4 linked regions of the Elephas maximus indicus genome follow. The protein of the gene in region 1 purifies or fractionates together with the protein of each later gene. This does not show direct contact. Links are inferred from orthologs where the notes say so. Each region holds a gene or a part of one and is shown on either strand. Other genes may lie near its edges. The genes, in order: BTRC, GLI1, REST and STK3.

What was found.
Region 2: the proteins of BTRC (region 1) and GLI1 purify together in Homo sapiens (affinity purification with western blotting; 3 studies listed by BioGRID). This does not show direct contact. The link is inferred for Elephas maximus indicus from reciprocal best matches to the Homo sapiens genes BTRC and GLI1.
Region 3: the proteins of BTRC (region 1) and REST purify together in Homo sapiens (affinity purification with western blotting; 8 studies listed by BioGRID and IntAct, with this or other methods). This does not show direct contact. The link is inferred for Elephas maximus indicus from reciprocal best matches to the Homo sapiens genes BTRC and REST.
Region 4: the proteins of BTRC (region 1) and STK3 purify together in Homo sapiens (affinity purification with mass spectrometry; 3 studies listed by BioGRID and IntAct, counting the BioPlex papers as one, with this or other methods). This does not show direct contact. The link is inferred for Elephas maximus indicus from reciprocal best matches to the Homo sapiens genes BTRC and STK3.

The regions. Positions count from the first base shown.
Region 1 is NC_064834.1:52,979,031-52,986,447, forward strand, and holds the start of BTRC (F-box/WD repeat-containing protein 1A), read left to right. Parts: upstream 1-3,955; 5' UTR 3,956-4,055; coding exon 4,056-4,103; intron 4,104-7,417. UniProt on the Homo sapiens protein: Substrate recognition component of a SCF (SKP1-CUL1-F-box protein) E3 ubiquitin-protein ligase complex which mediates the ubiquitination and subsequent proteasomal degradation of target proteins. Recognizes and binds to phosphorylated target proteins.
Region 2 is NC_064822.1:117,378,404-117,386,564, reverse strand, and holds the start of GLI1 (zinc finger protein GLI1), read right to left. Parts: upstream 3,115-8,161; 5' UTR 2,954-3,114; intron 1-2,953. Other genes in the region: INHBE (inhibin beta E chain), read right to left, coding at 5,654-6,411, 6,631-7,027. UniProt on the Homo sapiens protein: Acts as a transcriptional activator. Binds to the DNA consensus sequence 5'-GACCACCCA-3'. Regulates the transcription of specific genes during normal development.
Region 3 is NC_064823.1:104,103,753-104,111,461, reverse strand, and holds the start of REST (RE1-silencing transcription factor), read left to right. Parts: upstream 1-4,590; 5' UTR 4,591-4,914; intron 4,915-5,042; exon of another isoform or gene 5,043-5,732; intron 5,733-7,296; 5' UTR 7,297-7,309; coding exon 7,310-7,709. UniProt on the Homo sapiens protein: Transcriptional repressor which binds neuron-restrictive silencer element (NRSE) and represses neuronal gene transcription in non-neuronal cells.
Region 4 is NC_064833.1:43,247,467-43,254,972, reverse strand, and holds the start of STK3 (serine/threonine-protein kinase 3), read right to left. Parts: upstream 3,157-7,506; 5' UTR 2,974-3,156; coding exon 2,948-2,973; intron 1-2,947. UniProt on the Homo sapiens protein: Stress-activated, pro-apoptotic kinase which, following caspase-cleavage, enters the nucleus and induces chromatin condensation followed by internucleosomal DNA fragmentation.

The sequences.
Region 1 (7,417 bases):
AAACTGCCCCATAAGGTTTCCAAGGAGCGCCTGGTAGATTTGAACTGCTGAACTTTTAGGTTAGCAGCCGAACTCTTAACCACTACGCCACCAGGGTTTCCACTATGTATATTAAAAAAAAAAAAATATTAGGGATTATAAATGTAAAATACCCAGTATAGTGCCTGGCACAAAGAGCTAATAAAACGATAGCTGTTGTTGTTATTATTATCTCACCCACTGATTCTAGTTTGCTCTGTGAAGCTACATACATATACTTTCAAATAGCCTTTCAAATACTTGAAGTTAATTGTCATGTTATTCCTATGTGTTCTTTTTTCAGAATAAGCATCTATCAGTATTTTCTCTCTTGGATATCCTGCTTTTGGCTATGCTCCTGCATGGGATCTTTGTAGAATGGGGTGCCCATAATTGAACAAGGTACTGTAAATGTAATCTGGGTGCTTCAAAATAAAGTAAGACCATAAGCCTCTTTGGCCCAGATCCTACTTCTGCTCAAGCTGCCTAGGGTTCCTTTAGCTTTTGTGGCAATCACGTCACATTACTGCCTTTGGCCTAGGAAAACTCCCAAGTCTTTTTTCACATGAGTTTTAAGTCTCCCTCATTTTACACTTGTGTAGAACTTTTTTTCAAACACGAGCGCAAAACTTTATATTAGTGGAAAGCCTGTTACGTATCAGATAAGTTCTGTGGAAATAGGGATGCCTACGACAAATCATTAACACGTTAGAAATGTAAGCTCCACAAGGGCAAGGACTGAGTCTGTTGTGTTCACTACTGAATCTCCACTTTTTGTCATGATGTCGGCACACAGTTATATGCTTAATGTTTGTTGAATAAATTACTGAATAAAATATTTACAATGGAGATTTTTTCTTATAAGTTAAAAGGTATTTCTCTGATTCACTTATTTTTTTTTTTTTTTTTATAATAACTTTTATTAAGCTTCAAGTGAACGTTTACAAATCCAATCAGTCTGTCACATATAAGTTTACATACATCTCACTCCCTACTCCCACTTACTCTCCCCGTCTTGAGTCAGCCCTTTCAGTCTCTCCTTTCTTGACAATTTTGCCGGCTTCCCCTCTCTCTATCCTCCCATCCCCCCTCCAGACAAGAGTTGCCAACACAATCTCAAGTGTACACCTGATATAATTAGCTCACTCTTCATCAGCGTCTCTCTCCCACCCGCTGACCAGTCCCTTTCATGTCTGATGAGTTGTCTTCAGGGATGGTTCCTGTCCTGTGTCAACAGAAGGTCTGGAGAGCATGACCGCCGGGATTCCTCCAGTCTCAGTCAGACCATTAAGTTTGGTCTTCTTATGAGAATTTGGGGTCTGCATCCCACTGCTCTCCTGCTCCCTCAGGGGTCCTCTGCTGAGCTCCCTGTCAGGGCAGTCATCGATTGTGGCCGGGCACCAACTAGTTCTTCTGGTCTCAGGATGATGTAGGTCTCTGGTTCATGTGGCCCTTTCTGTCTCTTGGGCTCTTAGTTGTCATGTGGGCTTGGTGTTCTTCATTTTCCTTTGCTCCAGGTGGGTTGAGACCAATTGCTGCATCTTAGATGGCTGCTTGTTAGCATTTAAGACCCCAGACGCCACATTTCAAAGTGGGATGCAGAATGATTTCATAATAGAATTATTTTGCCAATTGACTTAGAAGTCCCCGCAAACCATGTTCCCCAGACCCCCGCGCTTGCTCCGCTGAGCTTTGAAGCATTCATTTTATCCCGGAAACTTCTTTGCTTTTGGTCCAGTCCAATTGAGCTGACCTTCCATGTATTGAGTGTTGTCTTTCCCTTCACCTAAAGCAGTTCTTATCTACTGATTAATCAATAAAAAAACCCTCTCCCACCCCCCCTCCCTCCCCCCCTCGTAACCACAAAAGTATGTGTTCTTCTCAGGTTTACTATTTCTCAAGATCTTATAATAGTGGTCTTATACAATATTTGTCCTTTTGCCTCTGACTCATTTCGCTCAGCATAATGCCTTCCAGGTTCCTCCATGTTATGAAATGTTTCAGAGATTCGTCACTGTTCTTTATCGATGCGTAGTATTCCATTGTGTGAATATACCACAATTTATTTACCCATTCATCCGTTGATGGACACCTTGGTTGCTTCCAACTTTTTGCTATTGTAAACAGAGCTGCAATAAACATGGGTGTGCATATATCTGTTTGTATGAAGGCTCTTGTATCTCTAGGGTATATTCCGAGGAGTGGGATTTCTGGGTTGTATGGTAGTTCTATTTCTAACTGTTTAAGATAACGCCAGATAGATTTCCAAAGTGGTTGTACCATTTTACATTCCCACCAGCAGTGTTGATTCACTTATTTTTATAAATTCAGATCATTTACAAGTCTAACATAATCTCAGTTTTAGCTTAAACCTAGAGTTTTCTCCTCCTAGGGTAATCCAATTTCCAAAATAAACACTAATTATTCCTTTCAAGGTCAAAGAAAATACTCACATGCTTTAGCTGCTGGGTGGCCATTATATTCCACCACTGAAGGCCTTTTGTAAACAAGTACCCCCTTTGACCCTTAATGCACTGTTTACATCCCAGGGTTAACACTAGCAAACCATGCCTTCTGAGTGTTAAATACCTGAAAATTTCCTGAGCTGACATCTATCTGGCCCTGTTTTTCTGCAGGGGGGGAGAATAGGTCTTTTGGAAGAAATATGGGGAGCTAGCTTTGGAGGACCTTGAAATTCTTCATTGGTCTGTGACCTGCTGCCAGGTACCCACAGGCCCAGTGCCTCTGGGTCACAAACCCTTCCGCAGAAGCTAGATATATGGAATTTGGGGTTGACTAGTTCCCTAAATTCAGTATAGATTAAACATCAGCATAAAGAAAACTAAAATCCTAACAACTGGACCAAAAAGCAACAGCATGATAAATGGTGAAAATATTGAAGTTGTCGGGAGTTTCATTTTACTTGGATCCACAATCAACATCCGTGGAAGCAGCAGTCAAGAAATCAAATGACACATTGCATTGGGTAAATCTGCAGCAAAAGCCCTCAAAAATGTTAAAAATCAAAGATGTCATATTGAGGACTAAGATGGACCTGACCCAAGCCATGATCTTTTCAATCACCTCATATGCATGCGAAAGCTAGACAATGAATAAGGAAGACGGAAGAATGATGCCTTGCAATTATGGTGTTGGCAAAGAATATTGAGTACGCCATGGACTGCCAGAAGAACGAACAAGTCTCTTGGAAGAAGTACAGCCAGAATGATCCTCAGAAGCAAAGATGGATGATGACAAGATTTCGTCTAAGGTACTTTGGACATGTTATCAGGCGGGATCAATCCCTGGAGAAGGACATCATGCTTGGTAAGTCATAGGGTCAGCGAAAAAGAGGAAGAACCTCAACGACGAGATTAATTGACACGGTGGCTGCAACAATGGGCTCAAGTCAACAACTGCGAGGATGGCACAGGACCGGCGGTATTTCGTTCTGTCGTACGCAGTGTCCCTGTGAGTCGGAACCGACTCCACGACACCTAACAATAAGAAGTTCCCTAAAACCACAGTTAGGGAGGTCCCAGGACCTCTGAGTCCTCTCATAGTTTTTTCCAGTATTTGGGGTACAGGTGAGGTATACCGGTCGCCATCTTGATATCAAATGTCAGGCAAGCTGCCATTGGCGTCTCACGGTAACCACGGAGACACCCGTGCCCCTCCCATTCCTAGAGGCCATAAACTACAATTCCCATCAGCAGACTTTCCCTTGTTGACCGACAGTTGTCTAGGCTTGACTCGTCTGCAACGGCGACCCTGCCGCAGTGAACCGCGGGAGTCGCAGTTCGTGGTGTGGTCTCACTTTTTGCTGCGGGAGGCACCAGAACTACAAATCCCGTGAGCCAGCGGGCTCGCGCATGCGCATGGAACAGCCGATCCTTGCTGGCTCCCTCGCCAGCGCCTAGAGTTAAGAAAGGGCGGGGTGAAGGAAGAGGAGGCGGGATCCGGGCGCTGCGTTGGCTGCGGCCTGGCACCCAGGGGGCGGCCCCGGCAGAGAGCGAACCCAGCGGCCCGGGTCGATTATGGACCCTGCCGAGGCGGTGCTGCAGGAGAAAGCGCTCAAGTTTATGGTGAGGAGAAGGTGCAGACCAGGGAGCGGTGGAGGCGGTGGCGTTGGCGGCGTCGCTGAGTCTCGAGTCTGGGCCTCCTGTCCGCTGGGGGAGGGGGCAGTGGGACCCCGGGCCGAGGCCGGCGACGGCGAAGGCTGAGGGGACAGGACCGGAGCTCCGGGGAGGCGGGAGGGAGTTGCGGAGGAACCCGGGAGTGGGGGCAGCAGCTCCGCCATCTTGTGGATGAGAGGCCAAGTGACAGCGGGGGTTTAATCCGGGAGGGGTCTCCGGGCAGCGCGCGGGGCCGTGGAGAGAAAGGGGCGTGGGGACAGTTACTGAAGAGCGGAGGAAGCCGGGAGGATAGACGCCCAAAGGCCGCTGGCAGGGCCTTCCTGGTGTCAGGGTTACGGGTAAGGCCCGGAGAGGAGGTGCGTTCAGGAGTGGGGAAGGGGAGCGCGGGATAGTGGGAGGACGTATATTGGAATTAGGAGGGAATCGGGCAGGGCTGGATGCAGATGGATCTAAGAGTGGACGAGGGAAAGCCAAGGCTGATGGGAGACTTGTAGTTTTGTAGAATGAAGAGGGAGATAGCCTTTGCCTTGAGGGTGGAATCCCAGCTTAGCCAAACTAATGTTGACAAACTCTGAGAAGGAGGAGGCCTTACTTAGGAAGATAAGGACTCGGAATGGGGACCTAGGGCCATGGTAACAGTCTCTGGGAAAGAACGGCGAGGTTGACTTGTGAGCCAGATTACAAACGTCAGGAAAAGGGATATATGCTCTACTTTGAAAGAAGAAGCTAAATATTGTTGTAAGGACGAGGCGATGAAAAGCAGGAGCCTAATTGGTCAGGGAAACTCGGGTATAGGAGTTTGAGGGCAAATTAATATCTAATAAAATACAAATTAGAGCTAACTTGTGGAGGTAGTGAAGTGTAGGGACCAGGTGCTGTATCACTTCCTGGGAAAGAAAGGGCCAAGGAGATTAGAATTGCAATGACCTATGTGATGAAATCAGAGGAGAAATTCAGGAGATAAAAGGGGGAATGTGGGTAGTCGGTATTGAGAGGAAAGTCAGAATTGGTGGTTCCCATCAGTTTTAGGTGTGAGCATGGGTTGGGCTTTGTGTGTGTGTTTAAACTCCTTGGAGCTTGTTTAACTTTGTATCATGCTTTTCTTGTGCTATACTTACATTTGGCACACGTGTGTAGTCTGATATCTCATGCTTTTAATCTGATGCTTCTTGTATATCCTAGGTGTAAAGCCAGACTTTGTGGTTACAAGTACAGAATGATGGGATGCATAGACTTCTAGCTTAACAGGGGGCTTTAGAGATATTGGTATTATTTGCAGTCAAGTCTTGCTTGCTTTTTCAAAAGTAATTTTAACCTGTCACTCCAAACCTTATTCCTTTGCTAGATAGTTATTACATTGTGTCTTTGTCTGAAATACTGTAACAATTTCCGAATCAATAAACATGGGTATTAATTGAATTAACGCTTTAAACTGCCCCACTTACAAGAATACTTCCCAAGAGACTGGTCAAATTTACTTAAACACCTAAATAAAGTTTGACTGTATCGAAAACAAAATCCCATTAAACTTGAAGAAAGTTCTTGAATGTCTGCCTAATTTTGAAATCTTAAAATATTTAAGAAGAGACTTTGAATTTTTTTTTGATTTTAGAAATTAGAGGAAATTGTTTTATGTCTATAGCTAGCTTCTAAATTTAGTTTAAGTCAGAAAAGTGGCAGCTGCTTATTTTTATTTTCCTATTTAGAGGGTTGACTCTTAATCCTAGTCCTGACACTTGTGTCAGATTTATGGAATAGTGTTATTTACAGATCGTAAAGAGGCATTATGAGATCATCTTCTTTACTCCCCATTAGACCTCAGCCTATGAACATTCTCAACTATTTGCTCTCTGCTTTGTACCAGTAAGTTATGTTTCCGTAATAGCCTTCTGCTTGAGTTAATTTGGACCTGAAGATGGCCAGTGTAGAAGTTTCCAGCTTTTTTGGGGCACACATTATTAAATGTTGAGTCAGTCTCCATAGGGAGAAGCCAATTTTTTCTTTAAGTTACTTTCATTTTTGACCTTGCCTGCTACTGTGGTTGCTGTTTGAGAAAAGGCCAACTGGAAGAGGGTCACCAAGAATGACACCTTAATAACTGATGCAGAGAACAGAGAGCCAGAGACTTGGTATTCTCCTTCAACTCAGTAACAGTCTTATTATGAATCTGAGTAAGTCACAGCTTCCCTTTGGTCCCAATTACCCCACCATAACCTGTGTGTTTATTCAGGGTGAACTTTGAGTTATGAAGATATTTTATTTGCTCTTGAACCAACTAATTAGTTTACAGTACACATGGAAGGGCTATCCTTTAATCAAATTGAAATTTTTATAGTGTTTGCTTTATTTCTTGCCTGACTCCTCTCAGTTGTGAATTACTAATTGTAACTTTTGTATAGATGCCTTGATTTCCATAGTTTAAAAAAAAATGTATAGTTTGTTTAAAACCCCAACATGAAATGAATACCGTCTTTACCAGTTTTACTCATTACCACATTGATGCAGTGTTGCGATTAGGAATTTTATACTAAAATCTTATTAATGAGACTGCTAATTCAGTTGACCGTAATTCACACATGGTCTGTACTCTTACCCTTAGTTACTTGTGAAAAAGAGTTTAAGCAGAACATTTTATTTCTAAAAACAAGTGATATTAAAGAAGTGGTTTACAGTAAATAACTTGTATGCTAATGTTTCTCCCTCAGCTTTAGCAGGCCATTAGGACCTTTACTGATATTTACTTGGTCAACAAAAATCTAATACCTTAAAAAAAAGATAAATGGGAACTGTAAGAAGACCTGAGAAGAGAAACTAAAAGGACTGAGGGGATGTTAGCATTATTTTAATTATATTTATAAGGAGGCCTGGTGGTATGATGGTTAAGAGCTCAGCTGCTAATTGAAAGGTCAGTGGTTCGAACCCACCAGCAGCCCCGCTGAAGGAGAGACCTGACTGTCTGCTCCCCTAAAGATTATAGTCTAGAAAACCCTATAGGACAGTTCTAACCTGTTATGAGTTGGAATCAACTTGACAGCATACAACAACAGCAACAGGCATTATTTTATAAGGATATATGTATATATTTAATAGAATGACAAGCTGAGGGATGAATTCATTTGAAGTTTATTTTAAAAAAATGGACAGGATAAATATATTCTTGTCCAGCCAGTCCCAGAATCTTAGAATGGGGAAACATTTGAAACTTGGATGAAATAATTTTAAGACACAAAATAAAATAGTTTGTAGAGTTGATAATAACTGAT
Region 2 (8,161 bases), on another chromosome or scaffold:
TGGGAAACTCTATGGGGCAGTTCTACCCTGTCCTATAGGGTCGCTATGAGTCAGAATCGACTGGACAGCAATGGGTTTAGTTTTTGGTTTGGTGCCTACATGAGCTTCAAGCGATTTTAATGCCATGGGACTTCTCCTTCTTCTGGCTCTGGCCATGGGCCAGCTTTAAGGAGTGGAATGGGGGAACTCATGTGGGTGTCTGACTTCAAGCACTGGGCTGCACAGCCACAGCCCCTTTCCTTCACTTGCCCTGCCCTGTGACAGCTGTCTACAATCTCTCCGGATCCAGCAGAGGGAGCCCTCGCCACAGGCCAGACAGAAGCTGGTGGGACGAGAAAGGCTCAAGGAACTGCCCCTTTTTTTCCCTCTTAGGAGAAAACTGTGTGTAGAAGGGGAGGTTTGTGAGGGGAGAAGGTTTGAGGGGAGCCTCGGGTCTGTTGTGTACAAGAGATGGAAGCCTGTGTTATTCTGGAGTGGTTTTGCATCTGGGCGCCTACCCTTGGTCTCTGCTCTGGGGCAACAAGAAAAGGGCAGTCAGGGAAGGCGTTGGGAGAATGAAAAAGCAGTCATCATCCTTTAGAAAGGCCTTGCGAGGGAGGATAGGGCGCCGCTGTCCGCTCTTCTCCTCAAACTCCAATTTAGACTCCACCCCAGGTCTTCCCGGGCTCCCAAGGCTGAGGGTGGGGTGGGGCGGGGTAGGGTGGAGAACGAACGGGAGCGGTCCGGCGGGCGCGGTGGGTGATCCCGGGATGCAGGGATTTAGGGTGAGGGCGGGGTAAAATGGGGCGCGGAACCCGGACCCCACCACCCAACCCAAGCTCCGCAGCCTGGGCCGTACCCTTCCTAACTCCTCCTTTTTCCAGCCGAGATCCGGATCCCGCATCCAAGACCTCCCAACTCGACCTTGGCACTATGCTGGGGGGGGGGCACAGCTGGCTGGCAGCTGGATGGGGGGACACTATTCCCTCCTCCTTCCTCCATGACTCACCCAGGGGAAGGAGGCGGGGTCGCAAAAGACCCCCTCAACACTAAAGAGATTCCCCCAAAGTGCCTATTCCGTCATCTTCCTGCCCCACTGCCCAGCCACCCAGGACCGCGATGGAAATGGGGCGACATCCCTCCTCGCCCACGCGTGCCACAGCCCACCCACATTTCCCTTCACACTAATGAAAGGAAAATTTCGCCAACTTTTCCAGCTTCAACAAAGTTTTTTTGGGGTATGGGTGAGAGTTCAAGATGGGGCAGGAAGCTCTAGGGTTCCCCGGCCGGAGCCGTGAATCATCTTAAATGTCTCCCTATTTTCCAGAGTCCCCATTGCAACCCCGCTCCTCAACTCCCAAGAGTCGGCCCCGCCCCCTTCTCCCGGTCCCGCCTTCCCCGCCCCCGTGCCTCTTCGGCCCACCCAAGTCGCCGCCGCAGGCTCTGGCTGCAGTCGGCTCCGCTTCCCCCGCCCGCCCCGGGAGCCCAGTCAAGCGAGCCGTAGTGGAGGGGGGGTGAGGGGCGGGACGCATTCTTCCCTCCTCCCCTCCGTGCATCCATAAAGCAGGCAGTGGCGCCCTGGGGGACACTATTGGAGAGTGGGGGATTCCCAGGGCGGGTGGGAAATAAAGATAATCCAGAAAATATAGGGAGAGAAAATGATCGGGTAAATAAAATAAGGTGTATATGGGGGGAGGGGCCAGGACACCGTAGGTTCCCGGGTATCCCAGCCGGTTTCCCAAGGGTTAATCCCGTCCAGACCCCCGGGAACCCCCTAGTGACGTCAAAGGCGGGGTCTGAGCGCCGGGCGGGGATGCCAGAGAGATAATGGGGGGGTCTCTGGACCCCGCCCCCTAGGGAAAAACCACCTTAATTCTCCCTCGGGAATTCGCCCCTCCTTCTCCTTCTACTGGGGCCTAAAGACCAATCTTATGAAGACCTCAGTTCTCCAGCCCCCTAAAACCCTCAGTACCCAGTCTCTACGGGGTCCCCCTCCCATAATCCTGTCCCCAATGCTAGCTGCCCATTGCGGATTGTTTCGGGGTCATGGGGCCTGAAAGAGGCTTCAGAGGCGGGGAGCAAGGGCAGGCAGGGTGGTCTGAGCCAGAGGAGGGGCCTCGGTCCCCAGCTCCCGTTTGAGGAGGGGGAGGGCAACCGGGATGCGCAGGCTGGCAATGGCCGGTGGTCCCGCCCAGCCCCAGTAGGGGTCTCCCTGCGGCTGGCCCTAGCTGCCCTGGTGGTCTTGAGTTCAGAGGGTCAAGCCAAGGTCTCCCCACCTCCTCTTTGGCGCCCTACCTACATCCCTTGGGACTCAGGAGTCCAAATTCCCTGAGGAGCCTTTCTACGGCCTCGATTAGACACTGGGCAGCCCTTCCAAACTCCTTTCCCCAAAAACACATGCACTCACGGGCACATCTGTCACAAGACAGGTCAGAGGTTCAAGCCCAGCCGCCCCTCAGTGGTTTTATCGTCTCACCACACACACACACACACACACACACACCCATCCCCATCCCACCTAGGGCTCCCTCCTTCGCGGTTCCCTCCTTTCAGAAACATCGACGTTTTTCTGCCTGGCTCTCAGACACACACCTGGAGTTCCCTCTCTACCAAGCAGAACTCCAACTAGCCGTCCCTCTAGCCTCTTCTTCTCAACTCCGGAAAGTGAGATGTTTCTAATATATGGGAGAGTAGGAGGCAGACAAAGAGACCCACAATTGCCTGAGACAGAGACACAGACTACCAGACTCAGAAGAAGAAGGAGGAGGAATAAGAGATACAGAGAAAGATATAGAGCTACAAATTAAAAATTCCTCCCAAGTTTCTAATTTCTTACCCCAGGCTCTTCCACCCCCATTTTGCCCCTATGCCCAGGTCTCCTTCTTGGCTGGCTGAGTCCCTCAGAAGCAGGGCATCCCCTCAGGCCCCTTCCCCCACCGCTCCCAGGTGGTCCCCCGCCTACCCCCCTTCTCACCTCTGTCTGGGCGCTGGGCTTGGGATGCGCGGTCCAGGGCTGGAGTCTGGGCTGGGGGGTGTAAGGTGGGGGGGGCGGACGGGGCCACGGCGGCGCAGCCTCAGTGCCACCCCACCCCCCCCAACCTGGTCCCCAGCCCTCCAGCCGGCCCAGCCCGCCGGGCCGCGAGCCGGGACCACCCGCGAGAAGCGCAAACTTTTTTTTCTTTTTGCAAAAACTTTCTCGCTCTAGCCTCTGGCGCGCCGCCGCTCTTCCCGCTCGCCCCTCACCTCCCTCCTGTTTCCCTCCCTCTTGCCGTTCTTGAGGATGAGGCGAGGTGGCTGCAGGGGAGAGAGGGGGTGCCGGGCTTATTGCACCCCCAGGACCCCCAGGATCCTCCCCCTCCCTTGAGGGACCCTATACTGCCTCCCGCCCCCCCCCCTCGCCGAACACGCTGCTGTCGGTAGGCAGTAAATCCCGGCCTGGATCCTGGATCGGCTGCCCACGAAGAGGCCCTAAACCCCAGCCAGAAAAACAGATTGGGAAATAACATTGGGAGAGGGGGAAGGCGACGAAAAAGTTCATCTTAGAAAATATTAGAGATAGGATTGTCGACTTTGATTGATGCTAACGCAGCATTCTCTCTCCCTGAGGTTAATCGGCTGGCTTCGTCCTTTGGATGGAACTTGGATGGGTTCAGACAGAGCTGGGGTTTGGGGGAGACGGGTTGAAGGGCTGGGGGCCCTAGGTGGAAGGTGTCTACGGAGCATAAAAGAGAGAAGCAGCGGCTGAGGCCTGAGTACAGGGTATGCGTTCACAGGTCACCTAAGGGGTCCTGGGCCTGAATCGCTGTTCCCCGAGAAGCACTGTTGACCGAGAATCCCCGCTTTCCTTCATCTGGAAGTTCGGGAGACTTGCAGACACCTCCGCACCTCTCCACTGCCGGCTGTCTTTTCGCTCTTCAGGGCTTTCTACTCCCTCTGCTGGCCTATCTGGCACATGACACCTCTCGGATACTGCTTGGAGGCGGAGGAGACTGGGGAAGCTGAAGGAGTAGGAGGTTTTCACTCGTCGCCCCACCCACCCTCAGAAAGGGGTCTAGGACCGGGGATATGTGAGCCCAAAGAAACGGAGGGGCACACTGGCAGCTGCTGCTAGTGCAGAGCTGTAGTGCCGAACCGAAAGGGGAATGCCCTGTGAATTTGGATTTTTGTCACCTTGGTGACCGAATGCAGGGAAAGGGGCACCTATTTTAGTCTCTGTGGCCTTTATACCAAAAGGGTGAAAGAGTCCCTTCCCCTTTCTGCCAGCCCTCAAACAGACTCCACATCTCAGGTCTGCTTCCAAGGACAACCTCCTTGGGCCTGGAGGTCAATTGGTTAACTGTTGTCTGAGGGCATGGGGAAATGATGAAGTTAGGGAGAGTACAGGGTCCTACAAAGATAGGTAGTAACTATGGGGTGGGGAGAGGGAAGACAGATAGGAGCCTTATTTGAACCTTCCTCTGCCCGTATGACATTGACCCAGACACCAGTTATATGGAGAGGATCAGGGACCCATCTGGGTCAGGCCAGACCAATGGTCACCAAAAAGGAAGGAGCGAACCCTATACCACTCATTCCAGCTAGACGCCCCTTCCCCCAAGGGAGCTCTCTTTTAGAACACCCTCTCCACCAGGTTCTCTAAACCAGTGGCTCTCAAACTTTTTGGTCTCAAGACTACTTTACACCCTTAAAAAATGCTGAACTTTTATTCATGTGGCTTATATCTATCAATTTGCCGTATTAGAAATTAAAATGGAAAACAAATTTAAATACAAGAAAACACAAGCACACATTCCATTCACAATGACGTCAGAAAGATGATGTAATCATATGTCATGCAGCCTCTGGAAAAATCCATCATACACTTTTAAGATAATGAAAATTTAAAAAGGCAAACAACATCTTAGTATTATTATGAAAATAGCTTTGACTTTTGAACACCCCTGAAAGGGCCTCAGGGACCTTCCAGGAGTCCCCAGCCCACACTTTGAGAATTGTTGCTCTGGACCATCACCCCAGCCTGTTTCATGACTCACACTTGTTGATTTTTTTTTTCTCTCATTTTTATTAGGAAAGTATAAATGTTTGTCTCCCCAGTGGGTCCTGCCCCCCAGGAAAAACTGGAAACTTCTTTGGGGCTCAGCACCCCTCTTTCTTGATCCTGTTTCTGGGACTTTCCTAAACACCCTCCTTCAGCCCGTTGCCCATCTCCCTCTTGGCCCTCCCTTAAGACGCTTCAACAATCCCTACCCCTGGCCAGCCTGTTTCCCCTTCCCCAAGCCTGCTGGGCCCTCTGCTTCCTCCTCCCCCTACCTGAGGACTTTTTCTTCTTGGGAAAGACTACAGTAATTTTTCTCTGCTTTATTCTTCCCACCCTCTCTCCCTGCCTCCCTCGCACCTGCCATTTTCTCATAAAGTTTAGACTAGAAATCATCCTTTCTAGGTAGACCTCTTTGGAGGAAACACTTTACCCATCTCCTCACACATCAACCAGCCTCCAATAGACCAGGAGTCTGGACAAAAAAGTACCCATTTGGGTCACATATTACCAGGTCGCCTATGGGGTGGGGATGTTGACCAGGAATCTGATGCCTTCAGGCAGATGCCTTCAGGCAGATGCCCTTTGTGTGGGAAGCCCTGACTTGATCTTTTCACTCCAAAACCCCAGGCCCTCTGACTAGCTGCAGCCACAGGCCTCCACCACCATATCTGGCACATCTGTCTTGACCACGTTGCCATTACGGTCAAGGTATAGGAGGGACAAAGGCCTTCGGGCAGTGGGGACGCAGCAGGAGGTACCCGAGGGCCAAGGGTTATTGGCCTTGAGGAGGCTAAAGACAGCAGAGTGGAAAGAGGCAGCAATGCCTGGGCTGCCAGCCAGGTGCAGGGGGCACTGCCCATTGCAGTAATTCAGCTGGTACCCCTCAGGCTGCAGGATCCAATCCCGCCATCCCAGATCTTGGAAGTCTACGTAATGATCTCGCCTACAACATAAGGGGGTCTCAGGTTCACAGGTGGGGGTCCTCCTCCTGGCTCGACCTGCTCCAGGCTCATTGGTCCGAATCTTAAGTTCCAAGAAGGGCCGCTGGTCACCCTGTGCATCCAGGAACCGCTGCTGTGGCCGAACAGCTGTGCTATTGCCCTCTAGGGGTCTGCAATCCAGCTGGAGTTTCAGGACGCCTGACTCCTCACCCCTCAAGCCACTAGAGGGCAGAGTCAGGGCATGCCAGCCCGGGCTATTCATTTGGTGCTCAGCCAGTAGGGTGCGGGACCCTCGGCGCCTTCTCCTTGTGTTCCACCGGATGATCCTCAAGTAAAGGGTGCCAGGAAGGGTGGGGAGCACATACAGCCAGAGACGGGCATGGTACAAGCGGTGGGCCCGAGGAGTGGACAGGTTGAAGGTGAGCACGGAGCTGCAGGTTGAAGCCAAGGAGTCTGCCCAAAAGATGGAGAAGGGAAAGAACCGTGAGCCTTGCCCACTGCTCTCCCTCAGCCCACTTTCAGAAGAAATAGGGACTGCCTTGTAACCTCGAAACCAGTCCTTGCCCAACTCCTCCCTCTCCTACCACACCCTGCTTCCTCCGCCTTTTCTGCCAGCCTCCCCTTCTGCCTCCCTTTTCCTGACCGTTCTCCGCCTGTCTCTCCGTTACCCACCTGTGATGGTAGCAAAGCTGATGACTTCCTCCGCATTTACTGGACTCACACTTCCTGGCTGTAGTCTCCGAAGCGCTCTGGTCAGCGCTGCCTGGGGTGGAGGGTGGGTTATTCTGGGACGACTGGTCAAGTGCAGCCCCTCCAAGATTTGCTGCTTGGCCAGCTCTAGGACCAGAGCTCGTTCTGTTTGGGGTGCCAGTGTGGGGCTTCCACAGGAGGGACACACAGACTCTGCCTCCTGGGCCCACACCAGTGCCCACAGCAGCACCAGCTGGAGTGGGACATCAGGGAGCCTCATGCTCCTGGTGGATGGCCCTGGGTTGAGAGCCCTGGAGTTTGGATGGAAGTTGCTCCTTCTGTTGAGTCCAATTGCACGAGGGCCAATGTGGCACAGCATTAGCAGACGCCAGTGCCACACCTACCACTGGCCAAGAGTAGAGCCACCTGTTTTCTATCGCCTGGAACTCAGGAAGGCGGATCGTCTGATGGGCTGCTGTGCTTAGCTCTGTCTTCCAGTTTGACCCTCACAGCTTATGTCTGACTACTGATCTGGGGCCTCTTTAGAGCTGGTGTCTGGGGCTCCCCCACCTAGTGGTCAGCCAGCAGACCTACCTTCTGAGCCCAGGGATTGGACAGCTGTGCTGCCCATCAGGCCCCTGCAGGGGGTGGAGGTCCCCCCCTTGGAGCTCTGGTTTCACCATCTGGCCATGGTGGCGGGGGTTGAGGTAGGGGTATGGGGGTGGGGGGATAATGTGGACACGCATGATGCAAGAAAGAGGTTGATTTCACATGCTCAGTTCCCAAGGTCTGGGCCTTGGGGGAGGGGACTCCATATGAGCCAGGTGGGGAAGGGCCATGTCTCCACATACCTTGAGTTTTTCTAGCTTGCCCAATGGCCACTGCCACACCACTTCCCATGAGGTAGCTATGAATCCCAGTGGGGATTCCTCTGGGGCCTCTGAGCCAGAAGGAGAACTCTGGGCTCTTTATTTCTAGCAATCAGGCTAGGACATGGGTGGGGCTTGGGGAGAACGGAGTCCTCTTGTCCAGGCAGAGGAGGCAATGCTGTGGGGCACAGAAGTCACCCCCTGACTGTGCCTATGCTGGCTGCCCAGAGTCCAGTTGGACTGGGGCACAACATGGAGGAAGGCCAGAGCATGGGGCCGGGGAGGTGGAGTGGTGTTACTGTGATGTCTAGGGGAAACCCAGAGAAGTGGGGGGTGGCAGTGATGCAACCTCATAGCAGGACAGAGTCCATCAAGGCTGGCAGAAGGGCATGGGTCTTGGGAGGGCTTGGACCCAGCTCTGCCAGTTCTCGTTCAGGCAGCTGTGAAAGTTGTCTAAATTTGGGGCATCCTAGAGGTGATGCAATCTCAGCCAGACCTTTCTGTTAGTGGAGTGGGAAATGGGGGAGTTAAGGACTTCTGAAAGCAAAGCAAGAAAGTTCCAATCCTTGTCCTCCTTATCGCACTTCCTTAAAAAAAACTTCCTTACCGACCTTAAATGAGAGGACCATGGGCCCCCTACTTTG
Region 3 (7,709 bases), on another chromosome or scaffold:
TCTTCTCTCATCTGTAAAACAAGGACCAGGACTTCTAAGATCTTTTTTAGTTGCGCCATTTTGTGGTCAGTATAGTCGCTATGAGTCAGAATCGACTCTAGGGCAGCGGGTTTTGGTTTATAGCACATGGATCCGCCAGGTGGGTACTGAATTGCGGTACCTATGTGGGTAAGGAGGGTCCCCACTTTGAGAGATTGGGATACCAAGCTAGGATCCTATTAAACACGTTGCCATCAAGTGAATGCCAACTCATAGTGACCCTCTAGGACGGAGTAGAACTGCCCCATAGGGTTTCCAAGCAGTGGCTGGTGGATTCAAACTGCCGACATTTTGGTTAACAGCCATAGCTCTTCACCACTGTGCATCCAAGGCTCCAGGATCTTGTTACTATTAATTTAACAAATACTGTTGGGCAACTACCATGTTCTAGGCATTGGGGATAAAGTTGAATTTCTCTGCCCTTCTGGAGTTTGGAGCATAGTGGTTAAGAGTGGCACAGTGGTGAAGAGCTATGGCTGCTAACCAAAATGTTGAATCCACCAGCCTCTCCTTGGAAACCCTATGGGGCAGTTCTCTTCCGTCCTGTAGGGTCACTATGAGTTGGAATCGACTTGATAGCAACATTTTTTTTTTTTTTCCTGGAATTTAGGGTCTAGTGAGGGGAGATAATAAATAGGTTAAATAAATAAAATGCATGGAATGATAGTGATAAATATTAAAGAGAAAAAGCAGGGAAGGGGAATAGGATTAAGACAAAGAGAAGGGGGGGTTAATTTTAAACAGTGTGGCCACTGAGAGGGTGGTATTTGAATCACGGAGGGGAGGAAATGAGCTGCTTGGGCAGAGGGATATTTATTGTACAGACTTTCAGAAGAGGAACAGCAAGGGACCTGAGTTGGGTGAGTAGCCAGTGTTCAATGGGGCTGGTGTGGCTGAAGGGAAGGGAACCAGGGGGATTGTAGCTCAAAATGTGATCTGGGTTCCCAGAAGGTTAGAAGGAGCCCAGCTCATTCTCATGTTCCTTTCTTGCCTGCTTTCCTTCTCTCAGCATTTACAGAACACCTCTATAGCTCAGGCTGCAGACACTGTAGTGGATAAGACAGTGTGTTAAGCAGTCCTCAGAACCAGGTCAAAAGGTCAGGGTCCAACTGGCAGCAAGGATGAATGCTGCTGCATCAGACAGGACTAGACCAGAGCTTCTCACTTCCTTCTGCCTTTGGGAAGGATGACTCTTGAAGGTAGTGTGGCTACAGGCCTACAAGTGGGCCTTGAAGAGGGCAACAGAGAGCTACAGAGAGGAAACAAGGGGGGCCTCATATACTGAACTTAAAAAATATGTAATTGTGCTAGGAAATACATGTACATGATTCAAAATTTGAAACAGAGTAAAAAGCACCAGAAGTTGCTGAGAATTTTAAGTACCACTAGTTCAATCTCTTCATTTTACAGAGAAAACTCCAGAGAAGGGATTCTTAAAGGGTCAGATGAGAAATGGGTCTCTTGTGTCCCTGGCCAGTGTGCTTTCTATTATATTCCAATCTTTCTTACACCCCACCAGGACTTTCAAAATAAACTTATAAAGGAAACAAAGCAACATTTTAAATGGTGCTTTCAGTTCACTTTTAGTTAAATGCGTAATAGAAATTGTGCTGACTCAGATGTAAGAATGTAAGAGCCAGGTCAGTTACACCTGGAGGAGATTTCTGTGGGGGCAAAGAGGGTGCTGGGTACTGCTGGAAATGAAGGGAGGATGGAAGAAAGGCCCCAAATTTTGTTCCTTGACAGACCAATGTCTTCACTCTGACTTTTACAGCAGAAAGTGGAACTGAAACCTTTCAACATCAGGATACAGATGTTGCACCCAATTTTTAATCAACCCAAACCTTGAGTCAGATGTAACATTTAAAGCAGATTGTTGAACTTCAGTGTAACATTAATGTGGGTTCAGTCAAATTACACTCTTTTCTAAAGAAAACATTGAGACATGGTTAGGAATAAAAAGCACATGGAAGCTGAAAAACAATATTTTACCAAACTTTTGAAATAAATCTCAAGAGAAAATATTAAGAACATATGACAATTAAAGTTAAAAAAAAAAACTGCTGAATTAAATATGCAGGAAAGAACCCATATTCTCAAAATAACAAAACCAGAACTCATTCACATTTCAGTCTTTATCTTGCAAAAGATCTTAAAATTTGGATGCAACAAAGTAAAATACTGCCTCTTGAAAAACAATGAAGAATTTAACTTCATAGTACCAGCTTCCCCCAAGGTAATTTTCTATTGATTTATAATTTGGCCTTGAATTTGACCTGCGGCCTTCATGTCTTGATAATTTGGGTCATTCTGAATATGTCATCCCTTGAACAAGGGCCTTTGCTAATTTTAAGTGAATGCAGCTGCCCCATTTGCAATTCTTCTATTTGCATCACAATATGTGGGAATAAATTCACAATTAATAAAACATTTCCATTAAGCAGTCAGACCAAGGAAATGAAGAACATTCATCTAGTAGGTTTAAAAAGAGATTTCTCATTTTTTCCTTTTTGGACCTAAAAAGGGGCCCTGGTGGACAAAAAAAAGGGTAAGAAAATAGTTCATGTCTTTGACAACTTTCATAGAGGACAGAATTGGTCTCTGGGGTACAGCATTTAGAATAGCCATGTAACCTCAAATTAGATTTTAGTTTAAAAAGAAGGGGGGAAAAAAAGAATAAACATAGAAAAATTTTGTACCAAGCCTAAACATCTAGAAAAGTTGGCCTTGTTCCTTAGTTCTCTTTCTCTAAATGAAAATGAATACTTATCAAGTTTGATTCTTGGTGATGGTTGGGGTGGGGGGGGGGGGTTGTGTTTTAAATGAAGTCGCTGAAACTTTTAGCCGTCTTTAGGCTCTTCATTCTATCCCGCATCTAAAAAACAAACAAACTAACCAGTAGCCACGGAGTGGAATAGGACTTCTAGCAATCCTATAGGACAGAGTAGAACTGCCCTACAGGGTTTCCAAGGAGTCCCTGGTGGATTCAAACTGCGGGACTTTTTGATTAGCAGCCAAACGCTGCATTAATTAGTAATATGTTGTCTAGATATAGGAAAATAAGAGTCTTACTGAGGAGTGTACTAGAAAGCGTCAAGTCTGGAAGTCCTGCCTGAAGAGAAAGGAGTGAAGGAACTGAGGGAGCCAGAGGAAGAGCTAGGGGTATCTTAGGCGGCTTTGGGCTTTTGAACTGGTTTTTACAGTTTAAATGGTCCTTCACCCAGGGCTAAAGAGAATTCTACTTGTTGAATTCTCATTCTCCAAGGTCAGATTGAATGTTATCTATTGTGAGAAGTTTCTAGATCCTCCTAGTTAGGATTCAGCTCCCTATTTTGAATCCCCGTAGCCCTTGCTGCCATCTTTATTATGATGCTAGTGACAGGCCGACTAACCTAGATCAGGTTAGGCAGGGCCTTGAATGCCACACTAAAGAATTTAAGCTTTTAGTTTGTAGGCCATTGGGAGCTATTAAGTTTCTAAGGACAGGCCTGACACAAGACTCATGTTTTAAGAAGGTATCAAAGGCACTTCGGGTGGAAACAGAAGGTAAGGAGTGCATGAAACTACTTTTTAAGCATATTATCATATGCCAGGCATTTTGTGTAGTTATTCCAATTTACAGACAAAAAAAAAAAAAAAAACCAAAAACCTGTTCCGACTCATAGCGTCCCCATAGGACACACAACTGCACCACAGAGTTTCCAAGGAGCGCCTGGTGGATTCGAACTGCTAAACTTTTTGGTTAGCAGCCATAGCACCTTATCACTCAACCACCAGGGTTTGCATTTATAGACGCGGAAGCCAAATTTAACAACACGTGGACGCCGGCAGCTTCACCACCTCTTCAGTTCTTTACCCTCAGTAATGTGGTTTCTATTCTTCCACTGGAATCGCGTTTTCAAGGCTCAGCAATGAGCTGTTTACCTGACACGTCTAGGGAGTTGTCCGCTCAATCTTATTTTTACTAACTGTTCTGAGGCTTTTAACACCGCTGTTCATAACGTCCTTCCCCGAACATTTTCTTTTCACAACAAACACACTAATTACATTTTCCTCGCTTACTGTTTGAAATTTGGATTGCATTTTTACCAAAAAAGTTTAAAACGCAGTTTAATTAGTTACGGGTGGGGATGGGTGGAGACTTGAAGAGATTTTGAAAAGTACTTTCTAGCGCTTCAGATTTAAGAGCCCAGTGACAATAGTGCTAAACAGAACGGTCAAAGCCTGCAGACTTTTCTTTTAACAGCTCTATTCTGACGCATGCACGACAGGGTTGGGGATAACTTTTCTGTTGTTTGCTTTTAAGAGAACTAAAGGAGCGGGGCCCGCCTCTTTTTTGACCTAAGAGCAAGAGTGAGGGACCGCGCGGATTTAGGTACGGCCCCCTCTAGGCGCGACCCCAGTCCAGCGAGGGTGTGTAACTACCCCCTTCGCCGAGGGGCGGGGCGCGCCCAGCGGCCACGCGCGCGGGCGGTGGAGGGGGCGTGTCTCGCGAGGGCGCGCAGGCGGCGGAGGGGGCGTGTCTCGCGGGCGGCGGCGGCGGCGGCGGCGGCGGCGGCGCGGGCCGGATGCGCGGCGCAGCCTCCTGTGTTGGAATGTGCGGCTCCCGCGAGCTCACGGCGCAGCGGCAGAGCGAGCGCCGCCGAGGCCCCGGGCCCCAAACCCGGGCGGCGGCGGCAGCCAGGACGACAGGGCGAGGGCCAGCGGCCTGAGCACCCACAGCAGCCCTACTCCTGGACCTTCGCGGGCCTCGACGGCCCAATCGCCCAACTTTTCTACCCTGCACCTCCCCTCCCCCGAAACTCCAGCAACAAAGAAAAGTAGTCAGAGAAGGAGCGGCGACGCCGGGTCGCCAGCTCCTCGTCTCCTGGTTAGGTGGGTAAGCCGGGCGCGGGGCGGGGGGCTCGGTCGGCGTGGGGGAGGGCCGGCCCGGTAGTGGCCGGGCGGCGGGAGGGGGAGGGCGCGGAAGGACGCGGAGCGAGGCGCTGTCCAGGGCTGATTTGCAGATACTGTGGCTCCGCGGCGGCGGCCGTACCGGGCGGGGGCGGGCGGCCGAGCGGGATCGGGTTACACCGCCGCGGCCCGGGGGCTGGGCCGGGGGCGTCCTTGGGGAGCGGCGCGTCGTCGGGACCCCCTCCACGGGCGAGGCGGGGTCGTCCCCTCGGCGCGGGCCCGGCGCCCCTCGAATTCCGGTCCTGAGGCCGCGAAGCGGAGCTGCTCGGGGCCCCAGTCCTGAAACTTCCTCCTCCTCCTCCCATTCCCAGGTCCCGCCGCCCGCAGCAGCCCCGCGCCGGCCCGAGGCCCTCCCCTCCACCCTTCCCATCCCGGCCTCTCCCTTTTGCCGAAGGCGCCGTTGAGTGCGGCCGGGCGGGTTGAGTCAACCCCGTGGCCCGGGCGGGTCCGCCAATGGGGCTGGACAGCGATTTCTGCGCTCGGGCCGCCCCGGCGCCTCAGCCCTCCGCGCGCGGCCGCCGGCTTGTCCGACCTGGCGGACCCGGGGAGAGCGTCCTGCCGGGCGCCGTGGGGGAGTGAAGTTCGCAAACTTCCGGGGCGCGGGGGTGGCGGCCGGCGCGCGTGGGGGCCCCCTGCCTGCTCTGGGCCGACTCCTCCTGAGGGCGCCAGCGGAGGCTCTCCGGTCCTTGGCGGAGGGAGAGCCCCGGGGCGATCAGGAGAGCCGGGGCGCCGGAATTACGGTAACTTTCCTCTTTCCTCCCAGACCCGGGCCCGCGGGCCGGGAAAGGGACTGCCTGGACGTGGGAATGACTTGGTGTGGCCCCATGAGCCCCAAGTACCCATCCCCCTCGTTTTTAGTGTTGGGGGACACAGGAAAAACCTCGGGACGGTTGTTGGGGCAACTCGCGCGAGTTGGTGTGTAGATGTGTGCAGCGTGTAGGCCCGAGAGGAAGCGAGAGCGCCCGAGTTTGCAAAGAGCTGCTTTGTGTTTGGTATTTTGAGAAAATGGCCGAATGCCTATTTCAGTCAGGAATGCCGCCGCCGAGGCAGGCGCTGGTGGCAGCAGCACATAGGAATTTGTGCAACTCGTAGGGCTGTGCTTCGTCGGTCTTCCTCACAAATGTTAAAATTCCTTTAGGGATAGTAGGTAGTAGGATTTTGGAGGGATTAGAAAAGTTGATGTTTGGGTAAATACCGAGTAGTCTGTGCTGTTAGGCACTGGGAAACCTTTTACGGTTAGTTTGTTTTCTCTGTTGGTGTTTTGATTCCAACTTTTTCTTGGTACCTATTACTAAACCGGCTTGTGTTCATAAACTTGATTGAAATGATCTCCTTTTTGTATTTTAGGTTTAACTGTACTTTTTAGTGTAACTTGTCGCATATTTTGGCTTTTCTAATTTGGAAGAGAACAGCTAAAGTATTTGAAAAGCAACGTGATGGTCAAGACCATTTAAAAAGCCAACATGTTTTCAAGAAGGTGATCTTGTAATGGCTTCCATTAGGGCAAGTAGGCCAAGTCAAGCACAATGCACAAAAAGTTACTGGTTGTGGAATGTAGAGTTGTAGGTTTTTTTCATTAGAGGGGTTGAAAGATTAATTCTTAATCTTCGTTTGTGAAGTTTGGAGTAAGCTAAACTTCCCTTTTTCACAGGAAGAGGGTCCATGATTATTTTCCCCTTTGAAACCAGTGGAGTCATCAAAAAATTTAGACTGAGTGGTACTTTTTCCACAATAGCTTATTCTTCTGAAGTTAGTTGGGTTGATATGGAATTTAATTAGGTTGACCAATTATTACAGCCTTCCACTTTCCAGACGTGCTTGTGAATATAAGGCACAACAGTATGATTTTGGGGTTTTTCAGCTCAGATTTAGACCAGTGAATTGTTGGGAGAATAGGAGAACAACAATATGCTAATCATGTATTGAATTTTAAAATAATTTTAATTGATGTTGAAAATGAAGATTACTTGTTCTTTACCCACCAGAAAAATGAAGTTCTTGAGGGAAGACCTGCTAATCAAATATAAAATTAATCACCTAGTTGACCTAGTCGGTGCGTGAGTTATGTCAGTACTGTTGATAAAAATTTTTTAGGCGTAATAAAAGTTTTTCTGTTGACTGAAAAAAAGAAAATTGGTGATTACAAGAATATTTTGAAGGTTTGTTTTTAGTGGTTTATTAAGCTTCTGGAGTTTTAAAGATTATATTGGAAAAAATGTTTTTTTAGTTAGGAAGAATTACATTGATGCTTTCATTTCAGACTATTAAAAGTTGTGTTTTATTTTTTGTTTATTTTAACTTCAGACAGAATACAGTTATGGCCACCCAGGTAATGGGGCAGTCCTCTGGAGGAGGAGGAGGGCTGTTTACCAGCAGTGCCAACATTGGAATGGCCTTGTCTAACGACATGTATGACTTGCATGACCTCTCTAAAGCTGAACTGGCCGCACCGCAGCTTATTATGTTGGCAAATGTGGCTTTGACTGGGGAAGTAAATGGTAGCTGCTGTGATTACTTGGTTGGTGAAGAAAGACAGATGGCAGAATTGATGCCTGTTGGGGATAATAACTTTTCAGATAGTGATGCAGAAGTACTTGAAGAGTCTCCTGAAATAAAAGGTGAACCTAATGGACTGGAAAACATGGAACTGGAAAGTTTGGAACTCAGTGTTGTAGAACCTCAGCCTGTATTTGAGGTATCTGCTGCCCCAGAAATTT
Region 4 (7,506 bases), on another chromosome or scaffold:
GCACAGCCTTTGCAAGCAACAGACCAGGGTTCTGGCACCTCCTCCACTTGATAATAACAACTATTAACGTTATTGCAAGGGCAGTGGTCTTTCAGTGGTAGAATTCTCACCTTCCTCGCAGGAGGCCCAGGTTAGATTCCCGACCAATGCACCTCAGGCATAGCCACCACCAATTTGTCAGTGAAGGACTGCATGTTGCTACGATGCTGAACAGGTTTCAGTGGAGCTTTCAGACTAAGATGGACTAGGAAGAAAGGCCTAGCAATCTGCTTCCAAAAATCAGCCAATAAAAACCCTGTGGATCACACTGGTACAAACCTGTTGTACATGAGGTCACCACAAGTTGGGGGCCAACTCAACAGCAGCTAACAAAAATGATACTGAACACATTACAGAGCACTGTGCTAAGTGCTTCAAATACTACCTCACTGAATCCTGACATTTTTTTGTCGTTGTTAGGTGCCGTCCAGTTGGTTCCGACTCATTGTGTCCCTATGCACAACAGAACGAAACACTGCCCGGTCCTGCGCCATCCTTACAATCATTGATATGCTTGAGCTCATTGTTGCAGCCACTGTGTCAATCCACCTCATTGAGGGTCTTCCTCTTTTCCGCTGACCCTGTACTCTGCCAAGCATGATGTCCTTCTCCAGGGACTGAACCCTCCTGACAACATGTCCAAAGTATGTAAGATGCAGTTTCGCCATCCTTGCCTCTAAGGAGCATTCTGGCCACACTTCTTCCAAGACAGATTTGTTCGTTCTTTTGGCAGTCCATGGTATATTCAATGTTCTTCACCAACACCACAATTCAAAGGCGTCAACTCTTCTTCGGTCTTCCTTATTCATTGTCTAGCTTTCACATGCATATGATGTGATTGAAAATACCATGGCTTGGGTCGGGAGCACCTTAGTCTTCAGGGTGACATCTTTGCTCTTCAACACTTTGAAGAGGGCCTTTGCGGCAGATTTGCCCAATGCAATACGTCTTTTGATTTCTTCACTGCTGCCTCCATGGCTGTTGATTGTGGATCCAAGTAAAATGAAACCCTTGACAACTTCAATCTTTTCTCCATTTTACAGACGAAGAAATTTAAATTTAGAACTAGCAGGTGGCAGAGCCAGGATTTCTATTATTTAGAAGGATTATATAAAGGAATGTAAGTTCCTAGCAAACAGTATGCCCTCAAAAATAGTAGATATGTTTTATTATTAGAAGGTAATAATCAATAGGGACAACACAAACACACTGTCAGTAACCCCTCATAGCATTCCATATGGCAAACTCTGCTAAGTGTCGTCATCTATAAATAAGATGAATCCCTGTAACCCAACCTATCCAATACGGTAGCTGTGAGAATTAAGTGAAATTATGAACACGAAAATGCTACAAAAAAACATTTGAAGGACACTCAAATATAAGGGACTAATGTAACTTTTATCTTTTACTCTTCAGAAATACCTTCAGGGATCAACATAAGTCTCTCTGAAGAGAGCTGAAAATAAGTCTGTCAGTTGTGCAACCATATGGAATTACCACCCACTCCTCCCACTATCGTCCAGTGGATTCCCACTCACAACTACTTCTAACGTCCCTGCAAAGGCAAGGACATTACATCGTATGCCTATTATGAAACTCTGATAACTTACAGTAGAGCTAATCAATACTGAGAGCTTTTACCAATTCAAAGTTGTTCAAAGTTGACCTATGGCATCATTTGAGAGGTGCCACTTCACAAGTCTTTCCAAAACAGAAGAGAAAAAAAAAAGCTCCCAGTTTTCTTCTATACTATTAAAACGGAGTGCTCAGTCAGTTCTAGAATACAGATACTTTCACAAAATCTATGAGGTGACTTGCTTCAAGGGTTCTGATAGAAGACTCCTTCTGAAAACCCCTCCACCCACCCCACCCCCCTTTTCACCTGAACAGATGGTTTCCAGGCTTCAAGGCTCACATGTCAAGTCACACAATTCACAATAGCTCTCAAAGTTCCTACCTTTTTAAGTATTCCATGTTCTTGAATACAACACCTTTCCACTTAAGAGCTCTAAGTATCAAAGCTTTAATTTTCACAACAGCACTATCTGGGAGAAAGATCAGCACACTTATTTTACAAATCATAAATGGAAGACTGAGGTTAAACGATTTATCCGACATCAGTTAATTCATTCTTGGGAAAAAATGCCATTTTGAACTTGTATCAGTGGACAGCCTTTATTTAGCTTCCTAAAATCATTTAAAATATTCATTCAAACGCATCTACTGTGTACTCCATTATATTTCCAATATAATATCAAAGATTAAAAATGAGTTATCAATAAATACCAAAGCAACACTATTTTTAAATGCTGAAAGAAAAACAAAAAACTCTAAGGGGGAGTGTTTCTAATTTAAGATTCCTACTGTCTTGCATCCATAAATACTTCGGAACTTGAGGGAGAGGAGACACCTGTCAGTGCAGCATATACACAAAGTTCTACAGGCTGTCTAATTATTAATATTTAATTCCTTAAGTGGTAAGTAAGCAACACACATTCTCAAAAAAATGAGGTATTATGAAGAACATGTGACAAGAAGCCTACATTGCTGTAAGAAGACCAATAATTTCCAAGTTTTACGTCTCCCAGGCTTCGTGGAACTGCCACCAGGAAAAACTCGACCCGCCCTGGAGTCTCCTAAGGTTGGGCTGCGGGGAGCCCGGCGCTGCAGACCCGACTTTCCACGCGCGCCAGGCCCCGCCACCCGGGGAAAGCCAATCGCGGTCTCCCCTCGGGCCCCCTCGCCTCGGGGACAGGCGCGGCCGGGACACTGGGACCTGCCTCCGGACCTTCGGTGCGCCCAGCTCGAGGCCCAGCAGGCAGGAGGGGTCGCGGTCGGGCCAGGCCTAGCCGCCCCGCTCCGCGGCTGCCGGGGCGCTTTCCTCCTTCTCCCCGCCCACGCTGCTTACCTCTTGGGTGCTGGCGGCTGCTCCATGGCGGCTGGGGACAGAAGCAAGGAGCAAGCAGGCGGAGAAGGCTGTAAGGGGAAATGGAGCTAGGGCACCGGCCGGCTGGGCCGGGCAACCGCCGAGGGAAACTCCAGGAACTCGGACCAACTTTCCCGTAACTCCGCAGCGGATCCTCCGCCCGCTCTGGCGTGCGACTCCTCCCGCCCGGCCTGGCCCGCCCCGCCCCTGAGCCGCAGCCTGCAGGACTCCCGGGACAGTGGGCGGGGCCAGGGACGGGGGCGTGGCCGGCCGTGGTACAGGGAAGGGGGAAGGGGGGCAGTATGTAACTGGCCTGAAGAGCTAGGTGAGGCTAGAGGCACATGGCTTTGAGCTAGCCCAGAGCTTCTGCTCCTCACTCGCCTTCGCTGCCTTTGCCCCAATTTGATGTGACTTATTTCTCTGGATTTCCCACAAGATGCATCTCTAGCATCTTGTGAATCTGCTTGAGCTATTACTAATAACCCACGCTTCTCTCTCTCCTTATAATTATTGGTTATGTTTTCCCCAGACATTTGACATTTGTAACTACAATACTAGGGATACTTCTGGAAATTCCTGTTTGATTTTGATTGTGGACATGTTCCTCACTATATTTCACAATAATTACATCTAATTAAAGAGAAAATAATTGCTGTGGTGAGATGTCTCAGCACACCAGATTTACTGTACTAGGGGACTGCCAGCTATTTAATTGGGTAACCTGGCAAACCTATCACAAATTATACTGCATGAAAAGTACTCAAGAAAACTTTGTTTCCTCCCCTTTTTTCGCCCTCTCCCAATAACTTGTTCCCAACACCCTCACCCAGTTGCAACTTGACCCCTTCATACATGGGGTCGCCATGAGTCAGAGGGGACTGGGTGATAACTAACAACAACAACAACGCATCCATATTGTCTGTGTCCTGTTTAACCTTAAATTCATATAGATATCTTTCTTATGACCAGATACAGTTGCCATGTGAAGAAGGGAGTTTTTAATTCTCATGGAATCCAGACTTCTGGATTCCTTGGAGATTGAAATGACTGATCCAAACTATCACCCTGAGATAATCTTTGAACTTTAAACCTTGAGGAAACTGGTTTTCTGAGAGTCATCTTTAACTCAAAGAATAGTCTAGCTTAATTAGTAAAGGATATTTGCCTTGGACACTGTGCTTTTTTAAAGAATTATCTCTGTGCAGTCAGTTTCAACAACAGAAACTCCGAAGGTCAGACTAGAAGCTATGTTTTAGGGTCAATCAGTAACTATTTAAATATTGCTTTAAAAAATGTTGCAGGACCATAAGTTATTATGTAAATGCTATTTTGGCCCTGTTTCCATGGCAATGCATAATTACTAGTGATAAGCTATGGTAGAAGAATCTTTGCAAGGTCTTTCTTCTTTGGAACATTTTTAACTCTCTAGTTGGAAATGTTGCCTTGATTCACAAATCTTATATTAAGTAAACTTCAACCAATTTCTATTATTGGCTTAATACTATTTTTGTTTTAACAAATGTAATGAGTTAACTTGTTTTTGTTAGAAATTGTTCAAGACATAGAATTACGTACAGTTTTCTTGGAAGGTAAAACAATGAATATGAAGAGGAGTGGCAAACAGAGACTCTTCAGCAAACCCATCAACCCCTTAGCCAACGTCACATCTATTGCACAAAGAAGTAGGAAGGGCAGAGAAAATTTTAGAGAAATTCTGTTCTCCTCTTCTCACCTCTGGCCTCCTGGATTAACCTGGGATCCCTAATTTTTCCTTTGTTATACAGAATAATACAGCAATTCCTGGCTCTTATTTCTGAACTCATCACAGAACTCAATAAAACAAAAATGTATTTCATTTATAAAATCCACCATCCTTATACATCAGTTATAAGGAGAAATTAAAAAGTTTCTGTTATATATGAAGATAAATTCTATGACAAACTGAATACATTTGTTGAAACATCTCAGTTGGTGTTCTGTCAGTTCCTAGAGCCTTGTTTTTCACCAATGCCTTCAATGCAGCTTGGACTTCTTCCTTCAGTACCATCAGTCCTTGATCATATGCTACCTCCTGAAATGGTTGAACATCAACAAATTCCTTTTGGTACAGTGACTGTTGTCCTTCCATCTTCTTTTTGATGCTTCCTGCATCATTCAGTATTTTGCCCATAGAATCCTTCAATATTGCAACTCGAGGCTTGAATTTTTTCTTCAGTTCTTTCCACTTGAGAAATGCCGAGTATATTCTTCCTTTTTGGTGTTCTAACTCAAGGTCTTTGCACATTTCATTACTTTGTCTTCTCAAGCCGCCCTTTGAAATCTTCTGTTCAGCTCTTTTACTTCTTCAGTTCTTCCATTTGCTTTAGCTACTCTACATTCAAGAGCCAGTTTCAGAGTCTCTTCTGGCTAGGATGAGAACCTGGAGGTCTACTTCTGAAAAAGTGGGCCAGTGAAAATCTTATGGATAGCAGTGGAACATTGTCTGATATAGCACAGGAAGATGAGCCCCTCAGTTGGAAGACACTCAAAATACGACTGGGAAAGAGCTGCATTCTCAAAGTAGAGTTGACCTTAACAACATGAATGGAGTCAAGCTTTCGAGGTCTTCATTTGCTGATATGACAGACTCGACATGAGGAGAAACAGCTGCAAACATCCATTAATAATCAGAATGTATAAAATACGAACCTAGGAAAATTGAAAGTCTTCAAAAATGAAAGGGAATGCATAAACATCAATATCCTAGGCATTAGTGAGCTGAGATGGACTGGTATTGGTCATTTTGAATCAGACAATCATATGGTCTACCATGCCAAGAATGACAAATTGAAGAGAAATAGCAACGCATTCATCATCAAAAGGAACATTTCAAGATCTATCCTGAAGTACAACACTATCAGTGATAATACCTGCACACCTACAAGGAAGACCAGTTAATACGACTATTATTCAAATTTACACACCAACCACTAAGACCAAAGATGAAGAAATTGAAGATTTTTACCAACTTCTGAACATGCAATCAAGATGCATTGATAATTACTGGCAATTGGAATACAAAAGTCAAAACAATGAAGAAGGCTCAGAAAATATGGTCTTGGTGATAGAAACAACACCAAAGAGCCAAGAAGGAGAAAAGCACTATCTTTTGATGGTGGTGGTGTTGTTAGATGCCATTAAGTTGTTACAACTCATAGCGACTCTATGTACAACAGAACGAAACACTGCCTAGTCCATGCCATCCTCATAATCATTGCTATGTTTCAGCCCATAGTTGCAGCCATTCTGTCAGTTCATCTCCTTGAGGGTCTTCCTCTTTTTTGCTGACCCTCTATTTAATTAAATATGTTGTCCTCCTCCAGGGACTGTTCCTTTTTGGTAACATGTCCAAAGTATATGAGATGAAATATTGCTATCCTCACTTCTAAGGAGCATTCTGGCTGTACTTCCTTTAGTAGCTCCCTTAAAAGGAGGAGGAACCTTTTCTCTTCTAGAATGCCTCAACGACCTCCTTTCTTGTCTCATTGGCTCAAATTGTCAGCTTGACCATTCCCTGTCATCAATGATTTGGCTCATGCCTGAACAAATGATTGGTTTATCTGACTAAATCAGTGCATGAAGAGGGATGGGAATTCCCTGATTGGGTTAAAGGAGGGGGCCCTTAGAGCTAGGATGGTGTCAATTTCCACTGTGACTACCCCAATGAAAAAATACCTATTACACAAAAAAGAAGAGGAAGAAGCTACCTCAATGTCCACTATGACCATTTATCAGAATAAATTTGAGATAGATTGAAGAGATGAATGATTAAAAACAAAGAAGATACTCCATTCTCAAGAAAGTGGAGCGTAACTCCTCATTCCTTAAGTATGGGTTGCATACAGTGACTTCCTTCATACTGTATTCCTAAGAGTAAAATATGAAAAGGGTGGGGACAAAGAGTAACTTTACAGTAGAGAAGCATTACCTCTACCTCAGCCAGGTGATCGAGGTTAACATCGACAGTGAGAAGTCATATTGATATTATGTACCTTCATGGATTGAAATGTGTCCCCTCAAAATATCTATCAACTTGGCTAGCCCATGATCCTCAGCATGGTGTGATTGTCCACCATTTTGTCATCTGACATGATTTTCCTATGTGTTGTAAATCTTACCTCTATGTCAAGGAGGTGGGATTAGCAGCAGTTATGTTGATGAGGCAGGATTCAATCTACAAGATTAGGTTGTATCTTCAGCCAATCTCTCTTGAGATATAAAAGACAGAAGCAAGCAGAGATATATGGGGACCTCATGCTACCAAGAAAACAGCGCCGGAATCAGAGGGCGTCCTTTGGACCCAAGGTTCCTGGGCTGAGAAGCTCCTAGACCAGGGGAAGATTGATGACAAGGACTTTCCTCCAGAACTGACAGAGAAAGGCTTCCCCTAGAGCTGAAACCCTGATCTAGCCTCTTAAACTGTGAAAGAATAAATTTCTCTTTGTTAAAGCCATCCACTCATGGTATTTCTGTTATAGCAGCACCAGATAACTAAGGCAGTA